3 linked regions of the Saccharomyces cerevisiae S288C genome follow. The protein of the gene in region 2 binds, or shares a complex with, the protein of the main gene of each other region. Each region holds a gene or a part of one and is shown on either strand. Other genes may lie near its edges. The genes, in order: UFE1, SEC20 and BET1.

What was found.
Region 1: SEC20 (region 2) and UFE1 share a complex: the UniProt entries of both Saccharomyces cerevisiae proteins name them as parts of the SNARE complex.
Region 3: SEC20 (region 2) and BET1 share a complex: the UniProt entries of both Saccharomyces cerevisiae proteins name them as parts of the SNARE complex.

Annotation. Positions count from the first base shown.
Region 1 is NC_001147.6:459,881-470,760, forward strand, and holds UFE1 (Ufe1p), read left to right. Parts: upstream 1-8,331; coding exon 8,332-9,372; downstream 9,373-10,880. Other genes in the region: NRT1 (nicotinamide riboside transporter), read right to left, coding at 1-1,396; YOR072W (uncharacterized protein), read left to right, coding at 1,622-1,936; YOR072W-B (uncharacterized protein), read left to right, coding at 4,589-4,750; SGO1 (Sgo1p), read left to right, coding at 4,891-6,663; CDC21 (thymidylate synthase), read right to left, coding at 6,795-7,709; SKI7 (Ski7p), read right to left, coding at 9,497-10,880. UniProt on the Saccharomyces cerevisiae protein: Syntaxin required for targeting and fusion of Golgi-derived retrograde transport vesicles with the ER.
Region 2 is NC_001136.10:1,440,910-1,451,848, reverse strand, and holds SEC20 (Sec20p), read left to right. Parts: upstream 1-4,854; coding exon 4,855-6,006; downstream 6,007-10,939. Other genes in the region: PLM2 (Plm2p), read right to left, coding at 1-496; 60S ribosomal protein eL37 RPL37B, read left to right, coding at 996-1,002, 1,392-1,651; LCD1 (Lcd1p), read right to left, coding at 1,776-4,019; myo-inositol transporter ITR1, read left to right, coding at 6,382-8,136; PUF6 (Puf6p), read left to right, coding at 8,446-10,416; CORVET complex subunit VPS3, read left to right, coding at 10,699-10,939. UniProt on the Saccharomyces cerevisiae protein: SNARE required for targeting and fusion of Golgi-derived retrograde transport vesicles with the ER.
Region 3 is NC_001141.2:343,168-353,566, reverse strand, and holds BET1 (Bet1p), read left to right. Parts: upstream 1-5,061; coding exon 5,062-5,072; intron 5,073-5,203; coding exon 5,204-5,621; downstream 5,622-10,399. Other genes in the region: phosphoinositide 5-phosphatase INP51, read left to right, coding at 136-2,976; CMI7 (Cmi7p), read right to left, coding at 3,057-3,266; iron-sulfur cluster assembly protein CFD1, read right to left, coding at 3,564-4,445; protein disulfide isomerase EPS1, read right to left, coding at 5,770-7,875; YIA6 (NAD+ transporter), read right to left, coding at 8,384-9,505; NAS2 (Nas2p), read left to right, coding at 9,911-10,399. UniProt on the Saccharomyces cerevisiae protein: SNARE required for targeting and fusion of ER-derived transport vesicles with the Golgi complex.

The sequences.
Region 1 (10,880 bases), on a different chromosome or scaffold from region 2:
CTTCCCAAGCGATACCAGGTAGACCGGGAGCCATACCACACACCCAGGCAACGATAGCTCTCCAGTTGACACCCTTGGTAAAATAGTATTCACCCTTTAGAATAAAGGCATTAGTAATGGAATATTGCCTCTTCCTGATCAGAAAGTTATCACAGATCATGACAGCAATAATAGGAGTCATGACAACACCGAAAGAACTCATGACAGTTAAGAAAGTAGAAGAAGAGTTGTAGAAGTTCCATGGCAAACAAGCCCAGGAGATACATGCGCAAAAAAGAGCACCTCTCTTGATATCGACGTATTTGGGCAACAAACCGGCCATATCCATACCAGTGGCAAACCCACAGTTGGAGATGGTGGAGGACATTTGAGACATGGTAAAGCAAAGACCACAGAAGAAGGCACCTGCGCGAGCGCCTGCAGAATAGTTGTTTGTCAACCAATAATCGAATATATCCATGGGCATCCAAAATTGTTTACCGTATAATTTGTCGCAGGTGGAGGCACTAATGACACCGAAGATTGGGACCAAGGTTGCTGGGATTAGTAATGCACAGACGCTACCGGTCCAGATAGCCAAATTGGAGGAACCGAATCTTGAATAGTCACTTTGGTTGGTGGAACCTGGAGAAATGGAACCGAACCAGTATGAAATCATGTAAACCCAAGCCCATGCTCTTTTAGAACCAGTAACGGTAGATTTTGTGGAGGTAAACAATTCACCGACACCATGGGCATTCTTAGTCAAGTAAATCACTATACCCAGCATGGCAAAGCAAGTAGCTACACATGACCAAATTAAAAGGTAGTTCATATGGTAGGGTTTCATGAAATAGCAGAGCGCGGTGAGGACGTGGAAAATAATGAAGCCGACCAACTGCTTGGTGGTCATGGCAACACTTGGGGACAAAGTATTGGGCAGGTGCAGATAGTGGTGGGACCAGGAATCTAATATCATGTTGATAGATAGACCACCCAACCAAGCGTTGGAACCATAATTGACAATACTCATCAAAATTCTAATGATGATACCGAAGGCTGAACCGTAAATGCCAAAAACGAATCTTTGGGCCAAGGTGAAACCGATTTTCCAATCATAACCGGGGTAAGAGTTGGCCATAGTGAAAATAATGGTCAAGACATTACCGAGAAGAAACGAAACAATGGTCTCTGGGTAACTTAGGCCGACACTTAGTGCAGCAGAACCACTCATCCATGTACCTGCTGTAAAGGACACAGCGCCCCAGTACGCCAAATTAGACCAGAACCCCCATGTTTGATTTGCAGACTTGATAGGTTGCAAATCAGGGTTCCTCAGAAAATTCACGGCAGTCCTATTTTTGGCAGGAATTTCTAAATATCTCAAAAACTTAGAGACTATACTACTGAAGCTCATGATGATACAGGTGCTGAAGTCCTTTTTTTGATAGTTATAATGGGGATATCAGTACAATAAAGAATAATATAAATTCTGCAATAGGAAATAATATAGGTAATTGTTCTTGATAATTCTGGAGTTTATAAGATTTTAACTCTATTTATGAGAATAGAGAAGGAAAATTAAAACTACAATAGCGAATGCAAATTTTTTTCCCCGAAGAACAAATAGCGGTAGCAACACATGCTGACGAAAGTTGTGTTCCTCTTTTTTTGGAGCAGGTCTGACTCAACTAAAAAGCTAGCTGCATGCAACCACGCTACATTGGCACACTATATCCTGACGCCCGCGCTATACTCTGACGCCTGCGCTATATATTCTGACGTCTACTCCATAACTATTATAGTAGTGGCCACTGTTGTTCGTAACCCGGCGCGGTGTTCGCTCCGAGCACGAAAATTCTGTCGTTTATTCTCTTCCTTCTTCCAGTTCCATTACTTAAAGGAGCTGTTTTATTTCATTCGAAAGCCCGATGACAAATTCTCCTCTTTCATATAAATTAATAAGGCGGTCAGCAGGAAACTCCTATTGCCAACCGTCTTGCGAACCGACCGGTCGCTGCGCGCGATCATGCGTCCACGCGCTTCTGTGGCGACGGACGACTACAGCAAGACATTACTCTGGTCATTTACGCCTGGCGCCCAGAATGTACAAGCGCAGACGGCCAGATCATATGATGAAACGGAATAGTCCCAGCTATACCGGTGATCACAAGACGTAGTTACATAGATGCCTTGGCGCCGACACGATATTTCTTGTCGTTCTGTGCCAGTAATTCCTTTTCTTCTCGACTATGCCTCTAAGACGTCAGTCTTGGAAGCATAGTCTTCGTAAAAAAATTTTTTTTTTGAGGTTTTTGCTTCCATTTCTTTAGACTGAACTAATTTATTTTTTTTATTATTATTCAGTAATTTTTATATATTTATTTATGGACTTATTGAGGTGCTTTGGGGGTGATGACGTCCCCAGTGAGGCCCCCAGGGTAGTGGACCGCACCTAACTTCCCATTCATGATGTGATTACGCATTTTAATCTTGTCTATATGTTCTACAATGATGGCGTCAGTGCCAATGCCGTTCGCATCTATGAGGGAGATGAACTCGCTCTCGGCCGTTGGGTTTGAGGCGGTGCCGTAGTGTCCGCCTTCATTCCGGCTTCGCGGTGTCTACGAGGCATTCATTTTATGTCGCGGCAACTACTTGATATTTTCCACCAGGCACAAGGAGAAACATGGAGAAATTATATATAGAGAACTATGAGTCCTGAGGCGGCCGTTCAGTAGCTCAGATTGCCAGGGTTAAAAATTGCTCCTTGGCATCCTATGTGCTGCATACTAAAAAATTTTTAGCCACGTAGTTGTATACTTTTGTTTCCGGGGATGAGAAATTAGCCCCAGGTCCCAGACTTACAACAAGGTAGATAGGGGGGCGCACCTTGTCGTCATGAGACCCATTTCGTAGAAACTTGAATTTGTTGTTGTTACTTCTGTTTTCAAGTAGGAGTAACGAGGCCGCGTACAATTTGCCAGTGGATTTGTCGCCTGCAGCAGCGGCCGCGACGCGACGGGTTGATCCAATTTTGTGCTTGCTTCTTCAACTGAATATTTTGAGTCCACTGCATGTGGAAAACAGAGTTTTCAGTCAGTCTTGTATGTATATTATTCTCTTTAGCTCCAGAATTTCTGCTGTGCTTAGTAACTTCTTGCCGTTGAGCTGATTTTAGTAGTATAATTTTTTTGCAACTCTACTGATATCAAGAGCAGTGATATGTGCTTTAATGTTGGCATTTCTTTCAAGCCAATCACCTTCTACCATTGGTCACGGTCTCAGTATATTTGTCGTAAATATTAGTACTCTAGTCTGGTCAGAGAAGTGGCCTTTCTCCCACCAAAACGTTGTTGTTCTGTCTTTTTTCTTATTATTTACTATTTATTGGATTTATCAAAAATTCCTCAGGAACAAGATTTAATATTCTTGAAAATCCTGTATGTCATAAATCATGAGCTTGGAAATTGACACGAAATATCGGATGGCACTACTTGATGATCGTTTTTATCACTACCGCTGTACTTTAATTTCATAATTTATTTGGTGACATTTCTCTTGAAGATCTGGCAAGATGTACACGGGGAGCTCCTTCAACTGTTAAAAATATTTTTAAAAGTAAAGACGTCACCATACTTTTTCACCATAAGAACAATTACTGGTCCAGATTAAGAACGGTTGGAGTAAGAGCCAATTATCATTCATTGACTGGTATTTCCTTTTGAACTATATTATCATATAATAGGTAAGAAGATGGCAAAAAGGAAGGAGAAACAGTGGTCTGATGTGATAGGGAAGTAAATGTCAACAAATACCTAACAGTACTATCTGATCGAACAAAGAAATTCCACCAAACTGTCAGTAAATTTATTTAATGAGCAGCAAGGACATAGTGCACAACTAGCACTCTACTTCGATTGGGTTATTGAGGAAGAGGATAGTATGCCCGGAATTTTCAAGCATTTACATGATTATGGTTTCATTGGGGTGCAAGAAGACCCAGCATGATTAGATTGCTATGTACTCATTATATAATATATCTCCGATGAATATATTTCCGAAAGTTTACTGAAGGCGACCTTGGATAAACCATAGTTTTACGGCAAATACACCATATCACTATTTTCTTTCTATATAGCTTTGCTAAGGCTTTTTTTAGTGACCGAGACAAAGAAGAAAATTTTCCATAAATGAAAGACCATTGTTTATTCCGAATCAAGTTTTCCGAAGAATTGTTGTATTACACAGTCCAGAGACAGCAGAATCTTTCAGAAATTTTAATACTGTTGTGACAGCATCTTGTCTATTATTTATTGGATACGCAAAACTCATTTTTTTAAAATTTTTTTTATAATTTCCTTTAAATAAAAAGGTTAAAGCTGGGAAAAATGCATCTAAATAATAAACTAATGATTTAGTTTCCCTCATTTAAAATATCTAAGAAGGACAGAACTTTGTTTGGGGTACTTACCCTTGAGTATTTTTAGCGATTATTCTTGGAGTTCTCAGCCAGAAGATTAAAAGAATATATGTTACTGAATGCAGTGTGATACTCAAGACTAAGTAGTCTTAACAACAAGTTAACAAGGGCGTGTGGTCTAGTGGTATGATTCTCGCTTTGGGCGACTTCCTGACTAACAGGAAGACAAAGCATGCGAGAGGCCCTGGGTTCAATTCCCAGCTCGCCCCTTTTATTTTTGATTATTTATTTCCTATTGGTCGGGTAACAGATTTTTTTTATTTTTTTCAAGGCCCTTTTGTTTTGTAAACAAAGAAATTTCACAAAGTGAGCGTCTACTAATATTGATAATGCCATTTCCACATTACAACTACTGCTAGGCGCAGGGTTATATTACTTACACACGCATATATATGTTTAATTGGGTATAGAGGGGTTATTGTTTGACCATGCCGAAGAGAAAAATTGCTCCTAACAAGGAAAGCAGCAGGCGTACGGTCTCCCACGATGATTTAACCCCACAAATACAAGAATTTCAAAACCTAATGGATCTCGAATCGCAAAAAGTGGAAAACATCAGACAGTCGTATTCGAGGCAAAACTCCCTGCTGGCCAAGGATAACTCCATATTAAAAATTAAAGTTAATAGCTTGGAAAAAAAAATAAGCCAGCTGGTACAAGAAAACGTGACTCTACGATCTAAAACCTCTATAAGCGAAGCTATCTACAGGGAACGGTTAAGTAATCAACTACAAGTCATTGAAAACGGTATTATTCAAAGATTTGACGAAATTTTTTATATGTTTGAGAACGTACGTAAAAACGAAAATTTGCCCAGTTCGAGCTTAAGAACAATGTTGAAGAGAACGAGTTCCAGGTCAAGATCATGCTCATTGTCATCACCCACATACTCAAAAAGTTACACTAGGTTATCAAATCACGAGAATAACCTGTCGCATGAATCAAGTTTTAACAAGGACGATGGTCCAGATCTTGAGCCTAAGGCTAAAAAAAGGAAGAGTTCTAGGCGGCAATCTATGTTTGTATCCACGAGTTTAGAACCTGAAGACGAAACCGGTGAAAACGAACCCATGATGGAAAATTCCTCTGTAGAGGTACCGGCAGAATCACACGAGTCTGCGCAAGTGGAGGAAACAATAGATGCCTTAAACCCTGAAGAGGAAAATAGCGATTCTGTCAGTAATTTTACCAATTCAATTATAGAATACTCCATACCAGAGGAGAATCCGACAGAACCCGAGCATTCATCTTCTAAACTAGAAATATTCAATGACAGTACAAATATGCTAAGTACAGTGCCGTCAAATCCTTTGCCGTTGCCTTTACCAGGCCCATCCGCAACTTTACCTACTACCACTAGCGATGCTTCAACGGTCTATCCTTCATCAAGTTCTTCTACTAATTCTCATCCAAAGACCAAAATTAAGCATTCCATGAAGCCGCCTAGGATAGAACTGAAGAAAAAGGTTATTGACGAAGTCATGCCCGTAAGTAACATGAGCAGCAACAGCGAAATATCATTTACGAGAACTAGAAGAACTCGTGGTAAAGCTGTAGATTACACTTTGCCTTCTTTAAGAGCCAAAATGAGGAGGCCTTCAGAAAAACTTGTGGATGCTACTACTGTGATTGATATACATGATCTACAGGTTTCCAAGAGAAATCGGGAAACTTCACATAAAAGGAAAAGTTTATCCCAAGATTCAATACCCGACGAACCGCAATTGAGAGAAGTCGTCGTCTCAAAGGATTATGGAACTCCAAAAGGGAAAAAAACGGAAGATGAAATACACGAGGATACCGCTCATCTAATGACCACTTCCAACAACAACAGCAACAACAAAAACGAAAAAAAACTAACTAGCAACAATAGCCCTAAAAAATCGTCGCCTTTACTTGACATTACAAATAAATCGGAGAATAAGAAAAAGTCAACAAGAACTAAAAAATTGTTCAAAAATGCAATTGTCAATAATTTATCTGATGAAAATTCTACTACGCGACCCTCCAAGTCGTCAAAGGGAACCAGTAATAATAACAACAATTACAACAATTTCGACAATAACAATTCAAACATTAATAATGTTAATAATAAATCTGTTAGCTTTAGACTAAATGAAGATGATTTAGCAGTATTTGATTTATTTGGAAATGGTAAGGCAGTGAAACATCAACCAAAAACATATCGCACCAAAAAATGATATATAGTCTTTTTGCCCTGGTGTTCCTTAATAATTTCTATATTTTTGCATAATAAACCATTGTATTATATACATTCGATTTTGTGTGTATATACGTAAGTACATGATTTTGTTTCTCCTCGTGCTGTCAATTATACACTCATTTTCATTTGAATTCTTGGATGAGGATTATAATCTTCAATTTCAAAGTCTGTCAACTTGAAATCATCAATGTCTTTAACGTCCCTTTTAATCTTTAGTTTCGGGAATGGTCTTGGATTTCTGGTGATTTGTTCTTTCAAGGCATCAATGTGGTCTTTATAAACATGTGCATCCCCCAAAGTATGAATGAACTCACCTGGCTCCATGTCGACAACTTTAGCAATCATTCTAGTCAACAAAGCATATGATGCAATGTTAAATGGTACTCCCAACCCCATATCACAAGAACGTTGGTACAATAAGCATGAAAGGCGGGGCTTACCGGATCCTTCTCCTTCTTTGGGGAAACTGACATAGAACTGTGAAAAAATATGGCATGGCGGCAAAGCCATTTTGTCAAAATCAGCTGGGTTCCAGGCACTCATAATGATTCTTCTATCGTAGGGATTTGTCTTTAGTTTATGTATAACCTGTTTCAATTGATCAATACCTTGTCCAGTATAGTCGTCATCGCACGTCTTGTATTTAGCACCAAAATGCCTCCATTGAAATCCGTAAACGGGCCCCAGATCTCCTACTTTCCTATCTTTGAACCCCATCTTATCTAAATATTCACGAGATCCATTACCGTCCCAAATCTTAACACCTTGCTCAGACAATAGGTTAGCGTCTGTATCACCGGCCAAAAACCACAATAGTTCAAGTATGATACCTCTAGTAAAAACCTTCTTGGTCGTTAGTAGTGGGAAGGTATCATCACGTAAACTAAAACGCAGCTGGGGTGGTGCAAAAAGACTCAACGTACCAGTGCCTGTTCTATCTGGCCTAAATTCACCTTCATCAATGATTCTTTTGCATAGATCAAGATATTGCTCTTCTTCTTTGTTTTTTCCGTCCATAGTCATCCTGTACCGTTCTGTTATGAAGCTCTCTCCTTGATACTTTATTGTTTGATATACACAGTCACTTACAAGTTTAGAAAATACAATTACAGCTATGCTATAGTAAATATTTCAGGAAACGCGTCAATTAAGGTCTTTTTCATTTTTTCTATTTAACGCGTCACCAAATATTAAGTTTGAGAAAGAAGGTCAAAAAAGCAACACCTCTTCCAACCTGTTCAATGCGGTCCTACGTTGAGGACACAAAGCTAATCTCTTTGAGGTAGCTGCAGTATAATGACGGGACCTTTGCATATTTTATTGGCCTTTTCCAATGAAACTAATTTTTTAATTGAATCTCAATCCCGTCCTTTACAGACGAGAGGGGAAAGAAGCTTGTTCGCATGATCCATCCTGGAATATGGATACATGTCATGTAATGATAAATCATTCCTACCTTTGCTGGTATCTTTCTGAAAAGGGCACATTTAATTAAGAACTGCCAACAAGGAAAGATCTCCGTTACCCTACCCAACTTGTGAGCTCAGATGAATGAGAATAACTAGAATACATACACATACGTCTAGTATCATTTCCCCCGGTGCTGGGAAATCACCCGTAAAAGCAGTGAAGAGCTTATTAACTCATGATGTCTGATTTAACACCAATATTCCGTAAGTATGTTGCTGTTATCGATGATGCTAGAAATGAGCAAAATGGTATAGATGATCATGTTGAAAGGAAACAAGAGGACTTCGGGAATTCTAATGAAACGTGTGAAATGTTTAGGGATTCGTTTATTAAGGAATGTGCAAGACTATTGAAGTTCCTAGTCGAATTAAACAAGGTAATAAAACAGATTGAAAAAAACTATTTAGATGACTTTAATATGAGTGATGCGGAAAAGGACGAGTTTGACATGGAATGCAGGCTGCAAATTCAACAATATTTCAAAAAGTTTGAATTCCTAGAGAATTACGAAATGGAAAGGCATAATTTGTCGCTGAAAAGATTTCAGTCAAAGTCTCACAGATGGTCAAAAATACTTTCCAATAAAAACGACAACACTAAGCATGTGATACATCCGCAAGACATTGAAAATGGAGTTTATGAATTTAGATTAGGTGTCCTACGGTGTTTGAATTTGTGGATAAAATATGTTTCATCCAAATTCACTACCATACAACAGGAAAGATTGATATTAGAAAATAAAATGAATTTCAATTCAACGCCTATGCCTACTTTATCCAACAATGCGGATGATTTCTCTGCAGATGCAATAGACATCTCAGTGTCACAATCTGCTCCCGTAGAAACTGTACAAGACGAAGTAAAACATTATGAAGAGACGATATCCAAATTAACCCAGGAGCAACTACAAGTGTTGGAGACAGAACATTCGGAACTGCTAAATCAAAAAAATGAGCAATTGAAAAAAGTGGAGACTATAAACAAAACAATTTTAGACATTGTCAATATACAGAACGAATTGTCCAATCATTTAACGGTGCAATCTCAAAATATAAACCTAATGCTGAACAATCAAGATGACATTGAATTGAATATTAAGAAGGGAAATAAAGAATTACGTAAAGCGAAACGAGCTGCTGGAAGAACTGCTAAAATGACCACTTATGGTGCCATTATCATGGGTGTTTTTATATTGTTCCTAGATTATGTAGGTTAATATCACTTTCATAAGATATGTGTAAAATGGGTTAAAAAAATCAATCTATCATCAACTTATTACTATTCATTTTATATATTAAACAATAAGTATGAATGCCTAGTATAATTTCTTAGTTGTAGGATTACTGGCATGCAATTCTGCCAACTGCGATAACCTTATGATCTATTGATGTTAAAACAATATTGTTGGTAATGTATTTGGAATCAATCACATTAAGAGCAAAGTCTGGTTCTATAATTTCGACTTCGACAATAAGTGACTGATTTGGATTAATTGAGATGTCGTTAGTCCCGAGAATCTTCACCAATTTTACCGCGTTGTGCGTCAAATTATGGTAAAGAAGCAATTCAGAACCCAAGTCAACGGGATCACTTAGCGCGTGCGTTTGTATTGATAATTTTATTAAACGCAAGGCTAACAACTTTAGTGTGTTTGGTAAATTCGGTGATAGTGTATTCGTCTTTCTAGAGTGAATTATTATATCACCCTTACGAATGTGAAATTGCTTTTTCGTGAAGTCTTCGGTATTATGAATCTTAACAAGAACCTCTAAAATGTCAGGGTTCAAACCGACTGATATATTATTTTTTGTGTTAGTCTCCAGTATTTGTTTTGAATTCTTCATTCTTGAAACTATACCATAGTAATGAAAATCTTCATATTGTGTATGAATTTCAATTGTCTGGCCTGATTGAATATATCCGCTGTTGATCAAGACTTTGAGTGACACGTAATTTATCTCCGCTATCGGTTGAAGAACAGAAGATTGCAGTATTGTGCCTACAAATGGCTCTTCCAAAGTTGTTTCTATTTTGTTCATATTATGCTCTACCAATAGATATAGTTGCGAAAAAAATGTCGGACCTTCATACCATTCGGGAACATAATTTATAGAGTCAAATTCTGACTTATACTTAGATTTTGTGATGTTTTCAGTTTTATTCAAATTCGAACCTAATAAACCCGAACACGGGATAAATTGGAATTCTGCGTCTGTCCACTGAAAGTTTTCCTTCAACACATAATTTAGCTCAGACTGAATCATTTCTAGTCGGTGCTTATCCCAACTAATTAGATCTGCCTTATTCAAAAGAATTATCAAGTGCTTTTTGCATGCGGAATTCTTGTTCAAATAAGAGATCACTTTTAAAATTTCATAAATCTGATTATTTGGACCATCTAATGATTTTTCCCACGAGTCATAATTGCAATCAATAACCAATACATAAACTTCAGGATCAAAGGTCAAAATTGAGTTCAGAGTTTCTTTATTGAAGTATTTGATACTACCAGGAGTGTCTATAAGCGTCAAGGTTGATGATGGCGGTAGTAAATCATTTTCTACCTGAATAACTTTCTTAAACATGGAAAATCCATTTTCTCTTTCTGTTTTGGTATTGTCTAGAATGACCTTAAAACTATTTGAAGATGAAGGATCCAAATTACTGCTTTTTTTTTGTAGTTCCCTCATTGATGACATAGAAATTTCGTTTAGATCATATAAA
Region 2 (10,939 bases):
TTGTTGGGAAGGGTTTTACCAAATGCAACTGCATGGAGTAAGGCAAGTGAACGGACAACCCATTAGTTCCATTACATTCCAATTTTATTTCATTTCTGTCGGCGGCGTATGAAATAAAAGCGTGCTGCCTAGAGATATTCTTTCTGCATGGCAAAATAATGTTGCAGACTGATTTTTTCCTACCGATGGCTAAACGTGAGGGATCCGATGCATCTAATTCAATCTCGATAGGGCCTGCAAGCACCTTTTCTTGCTTTGAAGGAGATGACAAGGCAGATTTGGTCTCATTTAAACGTGAAGTGATATCTTTCACTGGTGAAGATTGTCTTCCGATGCTAGACGACGGGTCTGGAGTAGGATACTCTTCCAATTCGTAATTATACCGTTTTCTTCCTAAGGTCAATACAGAAGTATTAGCAAGCTTACCAGGTTCTTTTTGTGGGCTTTCCAAAGGTTTACCAGCAACTGGTGATGATGGTGGGAAGAGATGGGACATAACCAAAATTGTGACGATTTTGTCGTGAAACTTCTAGCGAAAAGACTAATGAAATCGGCAAATATTGTGTAAATAGTATACCAAAAAAAAAAACGCTTCTATATATTGTTCCCCGTTGCTAGTAACGATAGAAACGGCAAATAAGGAGAGAAATTAAACTTTCTTGGGAGAGGCAGAAGTGTTTACTTATTCTTCTGAAACAAAAACAAACGCGAAAAAAAAATTATCGCGTTTGGATTATCATTATTTAGACATTAACACCTGTACATATTTGTATTTTAAAAGCCGAACATTTTTGGGTTCTATATCAGTTTTTTTTTTCTTCAAGCACTCCGTACACCACTAATATTATCACTGAGAATCTTCCTGCCACTTGCGGGAAGGATGAGATTGGAAACATGGCTGGAATAGTAAGCATAGGTTACTATAGAAAGCGGTAACAAAAAGCACTACTATGTGTAGATAAAGAACAAAGAGGTAAACGAATATATAAGTAAAGATGGGTAGTATGTACAGGAATTATTAATTGATGAGTCAACGTTCAATCACATCCGGTCTGATTTAGAGGATTACATGAGAAAGAAGCACTGAAAAAATTTTCCACCAGGAGAGGCCAGGTAAACTAAGACCTACGTTATTCACTATGCCAAAAGATTTAAAAATATAGAATGATGAATGTTGCCAGAGCCATTGATGATAAGAAATTGCACATAACGGATGCATAAAGAGCGAATAAAAAGATTTGAGTGTCAATACAAAAAGGTGAGAAGAAATAGTGTAAGACAGCAACACACATCTAGACCGCCAATGAAGTTGTTCTGAATCCAGCAGTAGAGTTTATTTAGTTCAAAGTTTTACTAACGATAATTAACTTTTATGTTTTCATTTTAAACAGAGGGTACTCCTTCATTCGGTAAGCGTCACAACAAATCTCACACCTTGTGTAACAGATGTGGTCGTCGTTCTTTCCATGTTCAAAAGAAGACCTGTTCCTCTTGTGGTTACCCATCCGCTAAGACTAGATCTCACAACTGGGCTGCCAAGGCAAAGAGAAGACACACTACTGGTACCGGTAGAATGAGATATTTGAAGCATGTCTCCAGAAGATTTAAGAACGGTTTCCAAACCGGTTCTGCTAAGGCTACTTCTGCTTAAATTTGATATTATCTATAAGTTTTGTTCTTTCCTAAAACGAAAATAATATAAATTATATATAGTTAATATTAAGCATTACAAGGTTTCTATAAAGCGTTGACATTTTCCCCTTTTGATTGTTGCCTTACAGTCCCATTGAGATATATAATGAATCGGCCTCCTCTAGTGTGGTTAGATCGAATGATTTTGACTCAAGAATAGTTCTTGCCATTTCTTGAAATTTCTCATCGTACTTTACTTGCATTATTCTCCCCGTTCTTTTATTCAATTGCATCTTCAATTCTTCTTCGATATATTCTGGTAAATCCTCAAAGGCATCTTCGTAATAAGAGGCTTGATCCTTTATCGTCAGATCATGCAAACTATCTACAAGGTGTCGATGATCTCTCATTTCTCTTTCGTTTGCTGTCACAGTTTCGGTTTGGCATACGAGAAACCTCCATAGTGACATAATCAATTGGCTTTCTACCTGCTTGATTTGTTCTTCACGCAATTGTTTGAAATGGTCTTTCCATAGCCTATATATTATGGTTAAAGTATGTTCAATAAGATGGCATCTGAGGTCCAAGTTCGGGGAGTCTTGTCCCACGTACCTTTCTATCATTAACGCTTGCTCCCTGGATAAGAATTTAGAGGAGTGGATGAGCATTTCTCCATTTACTATGGTCGCATCGTCTCCATAGATCATTAATAAATTTTCAAAAATATTTAAAACTTCATCTTTTAACTTCAAAAGCCATTTTTCCATCTTGTAACCTATTATAGGGGCAGTGAATTTGTCGCTATCCATCCCAATATCCTCTTTAGAAATTACCCTTGGGACACTTTGCAATCGGTCAGTATAAATCAGCTTTGATATCAATCCTCCCAATTCATTATCACCTATATTTCGGATTAACCCAAAAAAGTCATGGTACTTCGACATATGAAGAGTTGTAGTATCCACATTTTCATTATATACGTCGCCACTCTTAATTTCCTTTTCCAAAAGAGCGTATAATCTTGTAATACAATCTCTCCACCAACTACCGCTTATCAAGGATTTCAGATCTGAGGAATTGTCCATATTTAATATTATACTAGTGATAATATTAACGACCTCGACTGCACTAAATATTACATTTACCATTGGCTTGTATGAAATGGTTAGTGCTAGTTTGTAGACAAATTCAAATGATTTTAGAATATTTTCATCAAAAAATTCCATATAAGTTTGCTTAGGATGCGACTGCAGTACCCTTAATATACCTTCTAGGAGATCAAAGGAATACGAAATTATCAAATAGTCTATCAGTTCATATTGGAAAATCTGAGGTTCTACATGCAAATTCATATTTGATTCATGTATCGGTACTTTCAATACATGATGATAGATTCTTATTAAATCGCAAATAAAAAGAAAACAATCCTTCAGTGCTAAATTATGAGTGGCACTAGGACGAAATTGTACAATCTGATACATCAATGCAACGAGAAATGGGACAGCTAATTTCGATTCATTTGGATGAACTGATATTTCCTTGATCAAAACAGCTATATCCTCTAGCAAAGTATCTATGAACCTGTCGAGGGTCAACGTCTTTTTACATCGCAAAAGTAGAGAAACTATGGACTTCCCTATGGGGGCTCCTTTAGCAATGACGAAATTCTTAAATTTAAACTCTGTGATGTAGTCAAGCTTCAATCTATTTAATATTTCTATTGTGCTCAGGTCAGCGCCTATTATTTGATGAAGTAATATTGACTCTAGAAATAAACTCGTTTCATCGGGAATAATCCTATTTGGGTTTAGGGGAACCATATTTTTTTTCAGTAAATTATCACTTATCTTACGTTTTTTTGATTGTGGTGATTGAGGTTTTGCTTCGATTGCAACTGAGGACGAATCTGGCGTTATAGTGTTTGTGTTTGTTGATAATGTTGTTGACGGTGGTTTTACATTCGTAATAACTTCCCTTTTCGATTTTCCTCTCGCTTCCATCTGTAAGAACTTCTTCTCATCTTCCAGTTTCTGTAATTCTTGTTTTAATTTAGCCAACTCTTGAAGATGCTTGACTTGCAATTCATTAACTTTGACGGCTTGAATATTCTTTTCCTTTTCCCTTTCAATGTTCAAAAAGTTTATTTTATCACGAAGCATGCTTGCTTCACCTTGAGCTTTATTCAGTTGGTTAACCAGTTGGTTATCATTTTTACTCTGTTTATTGTTTAATGTGGTCGTTGTAACCTCCAAAGTAGTGGGAATTTGTGTTTGTAATGCTGCTGATGATGGCGGTATTTGAGTAAACCTTGGAGGCCTGGTGCCTAATTCCAAAAGAATATCATCATCGTCATCTGAAGAAAATTCACCCACCGTTTCTCGTCTCATCTATAATAGAAATATGCAAAAGAGTTTGATGATTGTGTTGACGTTTCGTGCACTATCGCGTATTTGTTTGCTTTTTATTTTATTGCATGTGCTGTTTTCCCCAAAAAATCGATGGAACGCTCGGATTTGGCTAGAGGCGGGAAAAATCACCAATAATCGAAGAAAATAGAAGAACCAAGATACTAATAGCTCTTTGTAAGATAAATTTTGGAGTTACTACAGGTTACTATCCTTATTCAGAGACTTTTTACTGCTTTGCTCCTAATATTTAGTAGGAAAGAGCGAGCCTGTCTGACTCTTTTTTTTTTAAAAAAATTCAAGGTAAAACCTAACTAAACATAAAATTTCCACTCGAGTTATTCCGCTTAAAAGTGCTTAACATCGGTGCCACACAATACGAACCTTAGTAGAGAACCGACCGTTACCTCTTTATTAGCCCTAGTTTGTACCACTTAAGCTCTAATTCCAATCTAATGTGTGTGTATTTTTTTCTATTGTTAGCGCCGCACCAAAGAGGATCATGGTAAATACAATTACATAAAGAAAAGAAAAGCAACAAAACAGCTTCGTTTGCACCTTTAGCAAACGTTGGAATTTTCCTAATCTCAAAACAAGTGGTAAATCTAATCCCACACTAAAGAAAGCACGTCTTTACCAGTGACTTTATCAATAAATCACCTGCACACGCTGTCCGGGTAAATAGAATTGTTACTAAATAATGAAAAATACATTCGCAGTTGTAAAAATGCCAACAGAAATACCTGATATACAGTTAACAAGTAAGATCGGATCACGCTGCCAAGGCGCATAACAAACTATAAAGCCATTAAAGATTATGGTCGTGACATTTTTGCAGGACCTGGAAGTTTTGCAAGATGCATTATTAAATAATTTGCAAAAATTAAGTGCAATCTCCCGCAGAAAAGAAAGCGGAGAAAGCAAGCATGATAATAAGGACAGTTTTGCAGCCATTGCCAACGAACACAATGATGAAGAAGAAGAGATTGAATTTGAGGATTTGGTGAATATTATAGAGAGCAAAGTTTCAGATTTCGAATCGGTACTGAAATGTAGTATTGTGGAAATGACCTACAAATACCCCGAATTAAAATTACAGTGGGAAAAAAGCCCTAGATACGATCAATGCGATAAGTTGCATATTGTGAAGCTTGATAAACAAATGAACGAGGACATATATGCTCAGTTGGTCGAAGAACTGGATTTCGTGTTGCAATTCGTCGATTGGTTCTATTGCTACCGCCTGAAAGTCAAAGAGATTCTACGACAACACCACAAACGTGACTTAGCTTGGAACGACGAGAAAAGAGACCGCGCTATAAAATTTCACGCTGTGGATTACGACAAGCTTCACCAAGGAACGTCGTCATCGTCAAGCTTAACGTCCACATCGATGGAAAAAGCCAGCACTAGAGAGAAGCTTTTGAGCAAAACAAAACAACTGACGAATAACTTGGTGAGAGGAAATCAAATTTTGCAGTCCGGAATTTTACAAAGTGACCTGAATTTGGATGAATTGAGAGCCCAAACCAATTCCTTAACACAAATCGATGACAAGTACACTCAATTCGAAACCGTCTTCAAGAAAACTGCCGATTTGGTCAAAGTACTGGAAAATGCCTCCCATCAAGAGAAACGAGATGTCTATTTATCACTTGGGTTCCTCCTATGCTGCGTCTCGTGGGTTCTATGGCGTCGTATTTTCAAGTTACCTGTTAAACTCGGCCTCTGGCTGCTATTCAAGTTTTTCAAGGGTATACTCGTCACCCTAGGTCTAGTTAAAAGCTATGCAGGCTCCTCGTCCTCTCTTCAAGCACCCAGTCTTGTGCTAAATGCACCCATTCTAGCCACTACAACTACATCCTCAGCAACCTCTGTGGAACCATTCGCATCTGTATCAGCCGTCAGTAGTATCCAGCGGGCTGTCGATGAGGCCGTGGACAGGATCGTCTCACATGATGAGCTATGATAATTTTAACATCTATATAACATAATAAGCGCATATACTTAGTTCTCTCCATCCTCTCCATTTATTTTCTCTCACCATTGTTTCTGTTCTCTTCACATGCGTTAGGTATAGCTTATACCCCCCACTGGTTGCGCTAAATACGCCTTCCCCACCGCATGTGAAAAAAGCTCGACCAAGCTCAACGCGCTGTTGCAAAATGGAAAAAATATAAAAGGAATCAAGCCATAGTTGAGAAAAGACCTTTCACACTTGGGCTTTTCTTTGGCAGGTGTTTGCTCTATTCTTCTCTTTCAGTTTGGTGCGCTATTCAGATTTATTGGTCGTCCTACTGTATACATCTCTTTCATTTTCTTTGTTTCTGCAGTGGGTGTTAAAATGGGAATACACATACCATATCTCACGTCAAAGACATCGCAATCAAATGTTGGTGATGCCGTTGGCAACGCTGATAGTGTAGAGTTCAACAGTGAGCATGACTCACCTTCAAAGAGAGGTAAAATTACACTTGAGTCACATGAAATACAGAGGGCTCCCGCTAGCGATGATGAAGATAGGATTCAAATTAAACCCGTGAACGACGAGGATGACACGTCGGTCATGATCACTTTTAACCAATCTCTTTCGCCCTTCATCATCACTCTGACTTTTGTCGCATCCATATCCGGTTTCATGTTTGGTTACGACACTGGTTATATATCCAGTGCGCTGATCTCGATCGGCACAGATCTGGACCACAAGGTACTTACTTATGGGGAGAAGGAAATTGTCACTGCGGCTACCTCTCTGGGAGCTTTGATTACCAGTATTTTCGCCGGTACTGCAGCTGACATATTTGGTAGGAAACGTTGTTTAATGGGTTCGAATCTGATGTTTGTCATTGGCGCAATCTTACAGGTCTCCGCACACACATTCTGGCAAATGGCTGTTGGTAGACTGATCATGGGTTTCGGTGTCGGTATCGGCTCCTTGATCGCGCCACTTTTCATCAGTGAAATTGCTCCCAAAATGATCAGAGGGAGACTAACTGTCATCAATTCCTTATGGTTGACTGGTGGTCAATTAGTCGCTTACGGTTGCGGTGCTGGGTTAAACTACGTCAACAATGGTTGGAGAATTCTTGTTGGATTGTCACTAATTCCCACTGCTGTGCAATTCACATGCCTGTGCTTTTTACCTGACACTCCAAGATACTACGTTATGAAGGGCGACTTGGCAAGGGCTACTGAGGTGTTGAAGAGAAGTTACACTGACACTTCGGAGGAAATCATTGAACGTAAGGTGGAAGAACTTGTTACTTTGAATCAATCTATTCCTGGTAAGAATGTCCCTGAAAAAGTCTGGAATACCATCAAAGAATTGCACACAGTACCATCTAATCTAAGGGCTTTGATCATTGGTTGTGGTTTACAAGCAATTCAACAGTTTACCGGTTGGAATTCGTTGATGTATTTCTCTGGTACCATCTTCGAAACTGTCGGTTTCAAAAATTCTTCCGCTGTTTCAATCATCGTGTCCGGTACCAATTTTATTTTCACTTTAGTTGCCTTTTTTTCCATTGACAAAATAGGCCGTAGAACCATATTATTGATTGGATTACCAGGCATGACCATGGCTTTAGTCGTGTGCTCTATTGCTTTCCATTTTCTAGGTATTAAGTTTGATGGCGCTGTCGCTGTGGTGGTTTCCTCCGGTTTCTCCTCTTGGGGTATTGTGATCATCGTATTTATTATCGTATTTGCTGCGTTCTACGCTCTTGGTATCGGTACTGTTCCATGGCAACAATCGGAACTATTCCCCCAAAACGTGAGAGGTATTGGGACTTCATATGCAACTGCTACAAACTGGGCTGGTTCACTGGTTATTGCATCCACATTTTTGACCATGTTACAGAATATCACTCCTGCAGGTACATTTGCCTTTTTCGCGGGATTGTCGTGCTTATCAACCATTTTCTGCTACTTCTGTTATCCAGAATTATCGGGATTGGAGTTAGAAGAGGTACAAACTATTTTGAAGGACGGGTTCAACATCAAAGCCTCGAAAGCTTTGGCCAAGAAGAGAAAACAGCAAGTTGCCAGAGTTCATGAATTGAAATATGAACCAACTCAAGAGATTATAGAGGATATATAGTCCTTTCACGAGGTAAAAGGAAGGAGACGCAATTGAATATTCAAATACATAGTAGAAAATAAATAAAAATAAATTACAAGATAGAAAAAAGTTCATTGTATTTAAGTCGAACTAATTGTTGTATGCATATATAGAAGATTAACTAACCCGGCATTGAAGACCTTTTTTTTTTTTCACCTTGAGAGAAATACTGAAAATTTTTTTTGCTGGGATGAGATGAGATGCCTACCTAAAGTATTTCGAAGGTGAAAGCGTTTTATTATAGAGTACTGAAATAAAGCACAATCAGGAATAACAAATTAACTGACAATGGCACCTTTAACCAAGAAGACAAACGGAAAACGTTCTGCTAAAGAAGTTAGTCATTCAGAAAAGAAATTAGCCAAAAAACCTAGAATTTCTATTGATTCGTCTGATGAAGAATCAGAACTATCCAAAAAGGAAGATGCTGTATCCTCTTCATCAGATGATGATGATTTGGATGATTTAAGTACCAGTGACTCTGAAGCAGAAGAAGAAGCTGACGAATTAGATATTTCCGATGACAGTGAGGAACATGAAAATGAGAATGAAGAGAAAGAAGGAAAGGACAAATCTGAAGGAGGTGAAAATGGAAATCACACTGAACAAAGAAAACTGCTAAAAGAAAGGAAAATGCAAAGAAAATCTGGTACCCAAGTGCAACAAATTAAATCCGTCTGGGAAAGATTGCGTGTGAAGACCCCACCTTTACCAAAACAGATTCGTGAAAAACTTTCCAACGAAATCTGGGAGCTATCTAAGGACTGTATCAGTGATCTTGTCTTAAAGCATGATGCTTCCCGTATTGTTCAAACTTTAGTCAAGTATTCGTCCAAAGATCGTCGTGAACAAATTGTCGATGCTTTAAAGGGAAAATTTTATGTTCTAGCCACATCTGCGTACGGTAAGTATCTATTGGTTAAGTTACTGCATTATGGTTCAAGAAGTTCAAGGCAAACTATAATAAATGAATTACACGGTTCTTTGAGAAAATTAATGAGACATCGTGAGGGTGCCTACGTTGTTGAAGATTTATTTGTTCTTTATGCCACACATGAACAAAGACAACAAATGATTAAAGAGTTTTGGGGCTCTGAATATGCTGTATTTAGAGAAACCCACAAAGATTTGACCATTGAGAAAGTTTGTGAAAGTAGCATTGAAAAAAGGAATATTATCGCCAGAAACTTGATTGGTACCATTACCGCATCAGTAGAAAAGGGTTCCACCGGCTTTCAAATTCTACATGCTGCTATGAGAGAATATGTGAAAATAGCCAACGAAAAGGAAATATCTGAAATGATCGAATTGCTTCATGAACAATTCGCTGAATTGGTGCATACTCCAGAAGGTTCAGACGTTGCTTGTACTTTGGTTGCTAGAGCTAACGCCAAGGAAAGAAAGTTAATTTTAAAGGCTTTGAAAAACCACGCCGAAAAATTGATCAAAAATGAGTACGGTAATATTGTCTTCATTACAATTCTGAACTGTGTTGACGATACAGTTTTAGTATTCAAGACTTTCAGTCCTACTGTTAAGGAACATTTGCAAGAATTCATAATTGATAAGTTTGGTAGAAGGCCTTGGTTATACATACTATTAGGTTTGGACGGTAAGTATTTCTCACCTATCGTCAAGAATGAATTATTGAGATACATTGAACTGTCCAAAGCCACCTCTAAGAAGGATCCTTTACAAAGAAGGCACGAACTTTTGTCAAAATTCGCCCCCATGTTTTTAAGCACTATATCAAAAGATTATTCCAGTATATTGACAGAGAATCTAGGCTGTCAGTTCATTGCCGAAGTTCTAATAAACGATGAGTTGTACGCGCAGCTGAATGAAAAAGACCAAGAAAAGTATCAACAGGTCTTAAACAACATTTTAACTACTTTTAAGGGTGACATAACCGAAGAAGAGCACCCAATACATAGAGCATTTTCTACTAGACTATTAAAGGCACTAATTCAAGGTGGTAAATGGAATAACAAAGAAAAAAAGGTCATACCATTAAAAAATGTTCAAGGCTTAGGCGTTCCATTTGCTGAAAAGTTATACGATGAAATTATTGACTCCTCCAACTTGTTAGAATGGATTAATAACGCTGATAGTTCATTTACAATTGTTGCACTGTATGAAACGTTAAAAGATCAAAAAGAAGGGAAACCATTTTTGAAGGATTTGAGAGGAGTTCAGAGTAAAATCACCACTGATGAAAGTAACAAAGGCTCTCAGCTTTTGGCTAAATTGTTAAAATAAATTTTCTACGATAAAGTCACAATATTTGGTATATAAGCATCTGTACAATAATAATAAAAAGCTTGATCTCATTGAAAGTGCAGGTATATATAATTGTCTCCTAAAAACTCCTTACATCGCATAATATCTGTTGAAGATACCGTTCCGATGGGAAAAAAAGGCAAGTTTAACTGGAAATATTCATATGTACTTACTATTTTATAACGACATTAGTGAATCAGAACTATCATAACAGTCAAGGAGACTACCTTTTTTTGGTTGCAACCATAATATTATAGAACCATGGTAAAAAAGAAAACGAATAATGACAAAGGAAAAGAAGTAAAGGAAAATGAAGGAAAGCTCGATATAGATAGCGAATCCTCACCTCACGAAAGAGAAAATGACAAAAAAAAAACAGAAGATGATAGTCTACGTGCAACAGAAAGTGAAGAGACGAATACACATAATGCTAACCCAAATGAAACAGTACGAGCTGATAAATTTTCCCAGGAAGAGAGTCGACCAATCGAAGACAGTCCAC
Region 3 (10,399 bases), on a different chromosome or scaffold from region 2:
AAACATTTGTAAACCGGAAAGTTGGAACAAATATCTACACAAATCAAATAGCCTTTCTATTTCATTCTAGGATTAAGTCAGCAAATATTGATAAAGTTGTGTTAATCGTATGAATTCGAAGCACATTTCACTACAATGAGACTCTTCATCGGTAGAAGATCACGGTCGATTGTAATATCTTCCAACAACTACTGTTTATCCTTCCAGCGTTTGCGCAGCATACCAGGTGCCAGTTCTCAGCAGCGTCAATTAAGTAAAACTCCTAGCGTAACAATCAAGTCCTACCCTGACACAGATCTTTCAAGTGATAGTAACTATCTCGAAGTCAAAAGTTGCATATTTAATGGATTATTAGGGCTCGTTTGTCTTAATGGTGATATATATGTTGCCGTCATATCTGGTGTTCAGAATGTTGGGTTTCCTCGATGGAAACTGATAGATCATCAAGTTAGGCCTTCGGAGAGCATTTATAAAGTATTGGATGTTGACTTTTACAGCTTAGAAAATGATGTTTTCGACTACCTCCTCTGCGAGAGATCAGAGCAAAACTATGATAAATTGATTCATGAGCATCCTTGCGGCCCCCTGAAAAAACTGTTTAGTGATGGAACATTCTACTATTCTAGAGATTTCGACATCTCTAATATCGTGAAAAACCATGGTTTATCACATAACTTAGAATATACCGTAGATAATCAAGATTTATCATTTATTTGGAATGCTAACTTAGCAAGTGAGGTAATCAACTGGAGAAGCAAGATTTCAAATGAGGAGAAACAACTTTTTGCCAACGCAGGGTTCTTAACATTTGTAATTCGGGGTTATTGCAAGACAGCATTAATAGAAGACGGCCCAAATACAGCCTCTATAACCATTATTTCCAGAATTTCGACTGAGAGCAAGCAGGATACGCTAGAATTGGAGGGTATTAGTGAAGATGGGAGAGTGTCGCTATTTGTTGAGACAGAAATTGTAGTAACCACAGAAAAGTTTATTTTTTCTTATACTCAAGTGAACGGAAGCATTCCTCTTTTTTGGGAATCTGTAGAAAGTCAACTGTTGTATGGAAAAAAAATTAAGGTAACAAAAGATTCTATTGAAGCTCAGGGAGCTTTTGACAGGCATTTTGATAATTTAACCTCAAAGTATGGTGTTGTGAGTATCGTTAATATCATAAAACCTAAAAGCGAATCACAAGAAAAGTTAGCACTGACGTACAAGGATTGTGCTGAATCAAAGGGAATAAAAATAACAAATATAGAATACAGCTCAAGCGTTCTGACAAAGTCTCCCCACAAATTACTTTATTTATTAAAACAGGATATTTACGAGTTTGGAGCGTTTGCCTATGATATCTCTAGGGGCATCTACTTTGCAAAACAAACGGGGGTATTAAGAATAAGCGCATTTGATTCAATTGAAAAACCTAACACAGTTGAAAGGTTAGTGAGCAAGGAGGTACTTGAATTAACCACAAATGAAATTGATGTATTTGAATTGACTTCCCCATTCTTGGACGCACATGATAAGCTATGGTCAGAAAACTATTACTGGCTTGATCGAACGTATACTAAGCACACGAAGAATTCTGGTAAATATACAAAGGTTTATTCGAAGTTATTTGGTTCCCGAGTTAGATTATACGACCCGCTCCATATCTACATCTCTCAGTATTTAAAGCAATTAAGGTCAAAATATACGTTTGAGAAAGACATCTCAATTTTTGCAGGTACATTTAATATAAGTGGTAAAATTCCAAAAGATGATATAAAAGATTGGATATTTCCAAAATCAATGTCCAAGGAGGATGAAATGGCTGATCTTTATGTTATCGGATTAGAAGAAGTGGTAGAACTTACCCCAGGTCATATGCTTGCTACCGATCCATATGTCCGACAATTTTGGGAGAAGAAGATATTAACACTATTAAATGGGCCCGGACGCAAAAAAAAATATATCCGTTTATGGAGTACACAGTTGGGTGGTATTTTACTATTATTATTCATGAATGAAACGGAATATTCCAAGGTAAAGCATATTGAGGGGGATGTTAAAAAAACCGGGTTTGGAGGAATGGCTTCTAATAAAGGAGCTGTCGCGGTTAGTTTTAAATACTCAGCTACAAGATTTTGCGTACTAGTATCTCATTTAGCGGCAGGCTTAGAAAATGTTGAACAAAGGCATAATGATTATAAGACGATTGCGAAAAGCATACGATTTTCTAAAGGATTACGAATAAAGGATCACGATGCAATTATTTGGATGGGCGATTTCAATTACAGAATATTGATGTCAAACGAAGATGTTAGACGAAAAATTGTTTCTAAAGAATATGCCAGCCTATTTGAAAAGGATCAACTTAATCAACAAATGATCGCAGGTGAGTCTTTTCCATATTTCCATGAAATGGCGATTGATTTCCCACCTACCTATAAATTCGACCCAGGAACTAAAAACTACGACACGAGCGAAAAAATGAGAATACCAGCATGGACTGATAGGATTTTAAGTAGGGGAGAAGTACTAGAACAGTTAGAATATAAATGCTGTGAAGATATACTATTTTCCGATCATCGGCCCGTATATGCCATATTTAGGGCTAGAGTGACTGTAGTGGATGAACAAAAAAAGACTACTTTGGGTACGCAAATCTACGAGAAGATTATGGAAAGGCTAGAGGGATTGGATGATGATGAGAAAATTGCAGTTTTGAGTGATGATGCATTTGTTATCGAAAGTTTTGAGGGCAGTGATTCGATAGCTGGCCCTACGCATTCTCCGACACCAATTCCCGAGCCCAAAAGAGGTAGAAAGTTACCACCACCTAGTTCGGATTTAAAAAAATGGTGGATTGGAAGTGGGAAGCAAGTTAAAGTAGTTCTTGACGTAGACCCGGCCGTTTACATGATTAATCCTAAAAGAGATCCCAATCCATTCGTTGAGAACGAAGATGAGCCACTTTTTATAGAAAGGTAAGTAAATGATCATTAGTGAAAAGATTATATATAAATATATTTATTTAGCGTTCCTTCCCTATGCGGCTGTGAGCGTACTCTCTATTTTTGGCTGGAACTTTTTGCCAAATCATTGTTGTCCCTGTGTAGATCTTCTAACTGAACTAACAGAGAGTCCATTTTCTTTTCCATTTCATCCAACTTAAGTTCGACTTCCGAGATTTTCTCTTCTCCTCCTTTTAGTAGGTTCAAAACATCTAAAATATCCTTTGCGCCTGCAGTACTGACATCTTCGGGTGTATCACGAGTCATATTATTGACGACGAGTGAAGTGTTCTGCGATTTCTCTAGAGTAATTGATTCAGTTGCTCTTTCTCAAAATTGTGTGATTAAATATTATTTCTTTGTCAATATTTACCCGGCCTTTTAAATTTGTATCACCACTTGAAGAACATGCTGCAGTTGCCGGTTAGCTTCTAACCACCTTTCGATATAGGAATCGAAATAGGAATCGAAATTTATTTCTAGGCCCAAGGATCAAAATATAAGTGTATATAAACACACACACACACATATATATATATATACGTACATGCATAGGAGAGGATCTTATTTTGGAGATTCTATCTGGGGTTGCTCGTGTTTATCCACAACAGGGGTTGTAGTGTCTTGTTTCCTCAGTTTCTTCATTATTTCTTCAAAAATGGGACAAAGAGATGATTCTCTGTACATTTCTACAAGCGTTTTTTTACTTGAAACTTGATTCTCAATCATTTCTACAAATTTTGGATCTATAGGAACGTTACCAAGGTATGGGACAGAAAATTGCTCCGATAATCTTTTACCACCCCCACTGGAAAAGATATTTGTACACTCAGCACAATGCGGGCATACAAACCCTGACATGTTTTCAATTATACCGAGGATCTTTAAATCGACCTTCTTGCAGAAATTGATTTCTTTTTTGACATCAGCTGTTGCAACACTCTGTGGGGTAGTTACTACAATACCACCATCTGGTTTGGAATATCTCAGCTCCTCTGCAATCGATATATGTTCATCCGACGTTCCCGGAGGGGTATCGATCAGTAAGTAATCCAGTTCACCCCAGGCGACGTCAGAGATGAATTGTTTTATCATAGAAGTCTTCTTAGGACCCCTCCATATCACGCTGTTCCCTCTATCACCTAGTAGAAACCCCAATGATATTACACTAAGAGAGCCAGTAGAGTTTGTCTCCACTTTCACAGGTTGCCAACCTTCAGGACCTTGATATATAGATTCGTTCTCTAGGCCAAACATCCTCGGTAAGGATGGCCCTGTTAAATCAATATCTAAAACTCCAACTTTGAAGCCCATACTGCAAAGAGTCAGCGCAGTCTGTGTCGTTACCGAACTTTTACCGACACCACCTTTTCCGGAAAGGATCAATATGATATGTTTTATTCCTGCCAAAGAGGCCGCAGGAACGCCTATCTCCTGTTCCTCCATGCTTAATTGTAATAGTCGTATTAGTTTTGGGTGCTCCTCGACGCATGTGTATAGTTTTCATTTTGATGGTGTAAAACGTTCATGACTAATGAAGCCTTCCGATTTCTTTCCATTTTGCTATTACTTGCGCGATGAGCCGTCTAATGTGATTCTTCCAAATAATATCTAATAAACCCATGGTGTTTACTCTGTGATAGGAACCAAAGATCCCGTAATTATCGCTTTGTAATTGTATTTCCAGTTATTTCTGTACATTCTAGGTTACTGTTCAGGGATATGTTTCACTCTTATCGATGTGGCGTGCAAAAAATTTGAAGGGGCGACATATCAGGGAAAGTATTAGTGATTTTTTATAATGTTGCACTATCTCAGATGAAATTTATGCATGCTAATTGGCGGATACTACTCTACCGTTGTTGCAAGCTACGTAGGAACGTTCACGGCTCTTTCTTCCATTAATTTTAAATTGCGAAAGTATCCAGTAGTTGTTAAAAATGGAGTTTTTTCAACTCGCGCCTTTTGCCAAGGAATGGTAGAAAACAAACAGTAGTTCACTTGAGACTGTGAATGTGTTAGAAAATGTGATTGAAGAGCCTCACAACACTAGGCTACACAGATGAGTTCAAGGTATGAGAAATTATTAGACTATTCTAAAGTTAGAGTAGCGCTTTTTGTTAAACATCTACCATAACACCTCGATATTGGGAGTTATTGACCACGAGTGAACTTCGTTTACTAACTATAGCGTGTGTATATAGATTTGCAGGGGGAAACGCTTATCAACGTGATACTGGTAGAACACAGTTATTCGGACCGGCTGATGGATCAAATAGTCTCGATGACAATGTATCATCAGCGCTAGGGAGCACAGATAAATTAGACTACTCCCAAAGTACTTTGGCATCTCTTGAATCTCAAAGTGAGGAACAGATGGGAGCTATGGGTCAGAGAATAAAAGCACTCAAGTCATTATCGTTGAAGATGGGTGATGAGATTAGAGGCAGCAATCAAACTATTGACCAGCTTGGTGATACTTTCCATAACACTTCTGTAAAACTCAAAAGGACTTTTGGAAACATGATGGAGATGGCCAGAAGATCTGGGATCAGTATAAAAACATGGTTAATAATATTTTTTATGGTAGGCGTGCTATTTTTTTGGGTATGGATTACATAAATATTTGCATATTGTACATTAAACCTAAGTGACAAAATAAGAGCGACGTTTGTTAGATGATTGTAGATATTGATACGTGAAATAAAGGATAGTTATGATAGCATCATAAGATATCAGCATTCTTTTATTTTTATAACTACTTAAGCGTTTAATCTTGATTTTTTTTTTTCTCCATATTTCCTAGGATACCGACAGCGTTCCTTTTCGCCCTATAGTGTTTCCTTACTTTGTATCTTCTGTAAATAGATGGACCTTTGAGTATTGCGATAAACAAAACAATAACAATTAAGTAACCGGGCATGCCGTTCCCGTGGATTATGTCTAGGAAACTGAGGACATTATGGAATGGAGAATTTATCAATCTCCCCTTCAACTTAGAGCTGTATAGAGCTTTTGATGGAATATTTAAGGACACGAATGCTTCTCTCAGCAATTGAGGGTTGTTAGAAGTCAAGGAGTTGCCAAAATTATCTTTATTGTAGTAGTAATTATTTGATTTATCAATGATAATCACATCACCAATTTTATATTCTCCAGTAATACCATATTTTCTAAAAAAATTCTTCTCCTTTGAAATATCTAAATATCCTAATAACAATTTTTTTTGATCCATATGGGGAATCTCTTCACGCATTTTATCAACAATTTTGTTAGCCGGAGCCTTTTTTTCCTTTATTTTCTTGATCCCGTCTGCTTTCCTTGCCCTTCTCTCATTAATTTCTTCGAAGTTATTTTCCATCCGAATATGTTCATACTCCCAACTTGCGAGGAGCAAGTTTTTAATAAGCTTGTTGCTTCCTTTGATATGTTTGTGGTCAGTGCTACTTATTAACTGAATTGCTAAATCACTGTAGCTCTTGGTTTGGAAGGAAATTAATTTTTTCAAATTAGAAGAGTCAACTTCGGTAACTAAGGGATTAGAATACTTTTTTACCCAATCCATAATGGCATCAATATTTCTCATTTCTGTTGTGGAGTATCCGGGGAAAACATAGGATATGGGATCACCATCTTTAAACATGAAAAAAGTTGGGAGTTGCGTAACCGTATTCATAGTAAAGTATTCTTTGTTAAAAACCTTTTGAGTTTGGCTGGCGTCGTAGTTGATCTTTTCATACATTCTTCCAAAAAGATTACGTGACAAATTTATTAGATTCTTGTCAATTTGGTGCAAATATATGTTTGGAATTTTTGACAAAGGCTCGATTAAATACTCCAAAATGTCAAAATCTTCAATAACAACAGTTTCGGGGTCATATGAAAAAACTAAATGGATATCATTATTAGTTACTCGTCCCCTTTCTTGCAGAAAATCAATGTCTCTGTTTGCTTTTTTTTCGAGCTCCCCTTCTGTTATATTGGGAAATTTACTGTTTGTAAAAGTCCTCCTGGCAAAATCTACATAGCCATCTGACTTCGCTGAGTAGCCATTGGGATAGTCGAACAAATTATTTGAGGTTTTATTGGGTAGGACTAATGCTACCTTGGGTTCTCTATCGGCTCTGTGGTTGGTTATTTTCACCAAGTCGCCAAAGCCCAGTTCTTCACAGATTGTTGGATTAGATTCGCAATTAACGTGGCCCGTGTTGATATCATCCACGGCTAACTGTCTTGAAATGATCTTCCAAGTCCTTTGGAATTCATGGCATTTGTCACAGTTTTTGAATTCTAGTGAATCATCGCTATTTTTCATATCTTTTGTTGGCCAGAAGGAAACCAAATGTGGCCTAGTCGCCTTACCAGCGATCAGCTCGAGAAAATCAAAGCCTTCGAGATACTGGCTCTCACTTTTAGCAGAATCCAGATCAGTATCGAGGTTATTTGGGTCCATAGACTCCCTGCGTGCAAATGCAATTAATGATTCTTTGGTCCTCGGTGTTTCAGTGAACGATTTGATGTATCCTGAGGGGTTATAAAGTCTAATTTCAGGGAAGTATTCAATATTTTCATCTCCACACAAATCGGCGCTCTCGATGCAGTTAACCTGTGAAAATGTTATGTTCAGTGTTTTGCTCTCCTCTTTAAACTCCTCCCATGTTTCCATCCAAACAGGTGCTAAATGTTTGCAGTGCGGACAGTATGGACTATAGAAGTCAATAATATGCAGCCCCTTAGATAGCTCTTCTTTGAAGTTTGTTGGATTTAAGGGCTCTGGAAAGCCCTCTGGTGGTTCAGCGGCGGCTATAGTGAATTTCAGCAGAAAGGTGATGCATGAGAAGAAGGTAACTACGAGCCTTTTCAGATTCATTTTCATGGCTGCTGCCTTACAGCTAGTTTTTATAGATAGTATTTTTCTTTCCTGGATAGAATTTCTTGAGGAAAATAAATAAGGAAATGAGTATCAACACGAGGAACAGTACAGGCGCCTTCTTAGTGCTATGATCTTCACTGGTTTATGCTTTACGTCTTTATCGCACTAAATTGAAGCCATTCATTTGTTCGCACCTATTTCCGCTTCAAAAATAGTATTTAAAAAAGAGACTATTTTGGTAAGGATAAGCTAAAATAGTGCCAAGAAAACGGCCAATGTAGAATATTGTCAAGACTATGAAAATGTATAAGTATATTTTGTCTATAGAATCATGTGGGTGTATATAATGTGTGCGCAAAGCATTTGGTGGGCTGTTCGATGCAAATCCTTTTAGTATTAGGAAAAGAGAGGCTTACCTTATTTGGTATATTTACAAGCTGTAATACCTAAAATATTAGCGCAGGCATATTCATAGCACACTCAATGTGTGGCGTGTGTGAATTTTAAGGCTTTAAATTACCATAGTGCTAATATTTTCTAGGCGGTTTCTGAAATACTCAAAGGACACTAGAGTGATTGCCGAGGCCGGAATGGTTCGTACTAGGTTAGTAGTAAATCCAGAATAAAATCCCTTTAGTCCCTCTTGTGCATAAGTTGCTTTAATGAGGGGGAACAGACGTCGTTGAATGGAATCTGGTATATCTGATTTCAGTTGCATTCTGGTTCGTAAAATTTCGTGCGGATATGTTACTGCTGATGCAATCATCTTAGAGACGGACGATGCCATGATCAACCGTTGCAAGTTGATGGAGTTGGTGTTGTTCTCCCGAGAATAGCAGTGAAATCTTACCTTCAAATCTTCGTATATAGGGAAATGGATAGCCACATGAAATAGCCCTAATAATGAGGGGACCAGCCCCGCATATAATGCTTTAAACCCTTCCTGATAAAATAGCTTTCTGAATGCATCGAAAGTGCCTTTGTAATGTGTGGGGTGCTCACCGAGGTTTGATTGCAGCATAAGTCTTGTCTTCACAACCCAGATTGGGTTGGTCAAGGTGGTAGATGCAGCGCCTGCCGTGATTGCAGCACATGACTGAGCAACAAAATCAAACTGTGGGAAGATGCCGTGAAAGAACTTTTTGCTGAATTCATACACGGAGAAGTATATCATCCAGGTTGGGAAGTAGCCCAGGACAATCGGTACCAGCCCTTTGTAGAGGCCCCGCGGGCCTTCGTCTCTTACTATAGTACTTAATGTCCCCATTATCCCCCTATAGTAGGGGTTCTCGAACCTAGTTTGTAGTCCTTGTGCTTGCAATCGCGTTTTGGCAACATCGAGGGGACATACTGCCACACCTGATAAGAATCCAGCAAATGCGCCGGAAAGAGCTGTGATCTGAGTTGAGGATAGTGGTACCCATTTCTTTCGCAGCGTTGTCCCTATAATTGACTCAGTACTGCTGTTCATCTTGATGGGCTCGATGATATCTGCTGAGGACAGTTGGGAGGAATGATCAGGGAATATCAATTGTTCTTCATGCAACAACAGTGGCTCTTCATGGTCTGCAGAGCAATACTGCTGCTCGGGCAGTAAACCGCAGTTGGGGACAGGATTATCAGTCTGTGTCATTGTGCTAAAGACTGCTGCCTTCAGTGTTGATCTCACTACTATTACGGTTGGCAGTCTGTAGTAGAGATTCTTTTCAGAATTCGATTAAGCACTAGGCCGGTGGGTAACCCCTAGAAATTGGTGCTATTGGACCATATTATGAGAGTCATTTAAAGGGCCCTTCGGGCTGGCTCACATAAAGGTTGGGATCTATGACCTTTATCAATACGGATCTTACTACTGGCTATTCATTAATTCTCGAAATTTGCTGTCCCTTGCGTGCGCCGTGGATTGTGTTCGATAAGGCTTACTTTATAACGGTTGGAATATTGGATAATAAAGGGAAAAAAAATGTTCAGCATTGAGAGATAGAAAAGTTATCACCAGAGTAAAAAGGAGCAAGAATTAGAATAAGAACGAACTACAATGGAGGAAGAAGAATTAAGTAAATTGTTGGCCAATGTTAAGATAGATCCGAGCCTAACATCAAGAATTAGTCAAATAGACAGCTTCAAACTGTCGGAATTGATGGTTCTAAAGACAGATATTGAGACACAACTAGAGGCGTATTTCAGTGTGCTTGAGCAGCAAGGCATCGGCATGGACTCTGCGTTGGTGACGCCAGACGGGTATCCTCGTTCGGATGTCGATGTATTGCAAGTCACTATGATCAGAAAGAATGTTAATATGCTGAAGAATGATTTAAATCACCTTTTGCAAAGATCACACGTCTTACTAAACCAGCACTTTGATAATATGAACGTTAAGTCAAACCAAGATGCAAGAAGGAATAACGACGATCAAGCTATTCAGTATACCATCCCTTTTGCATTTATCAGTGAGGTAGTACCCGGTAGCCCTTCAGATAAAGCAGACATAAAGGTTGATGATAAGCTGATTTCTATTGGTAATGTG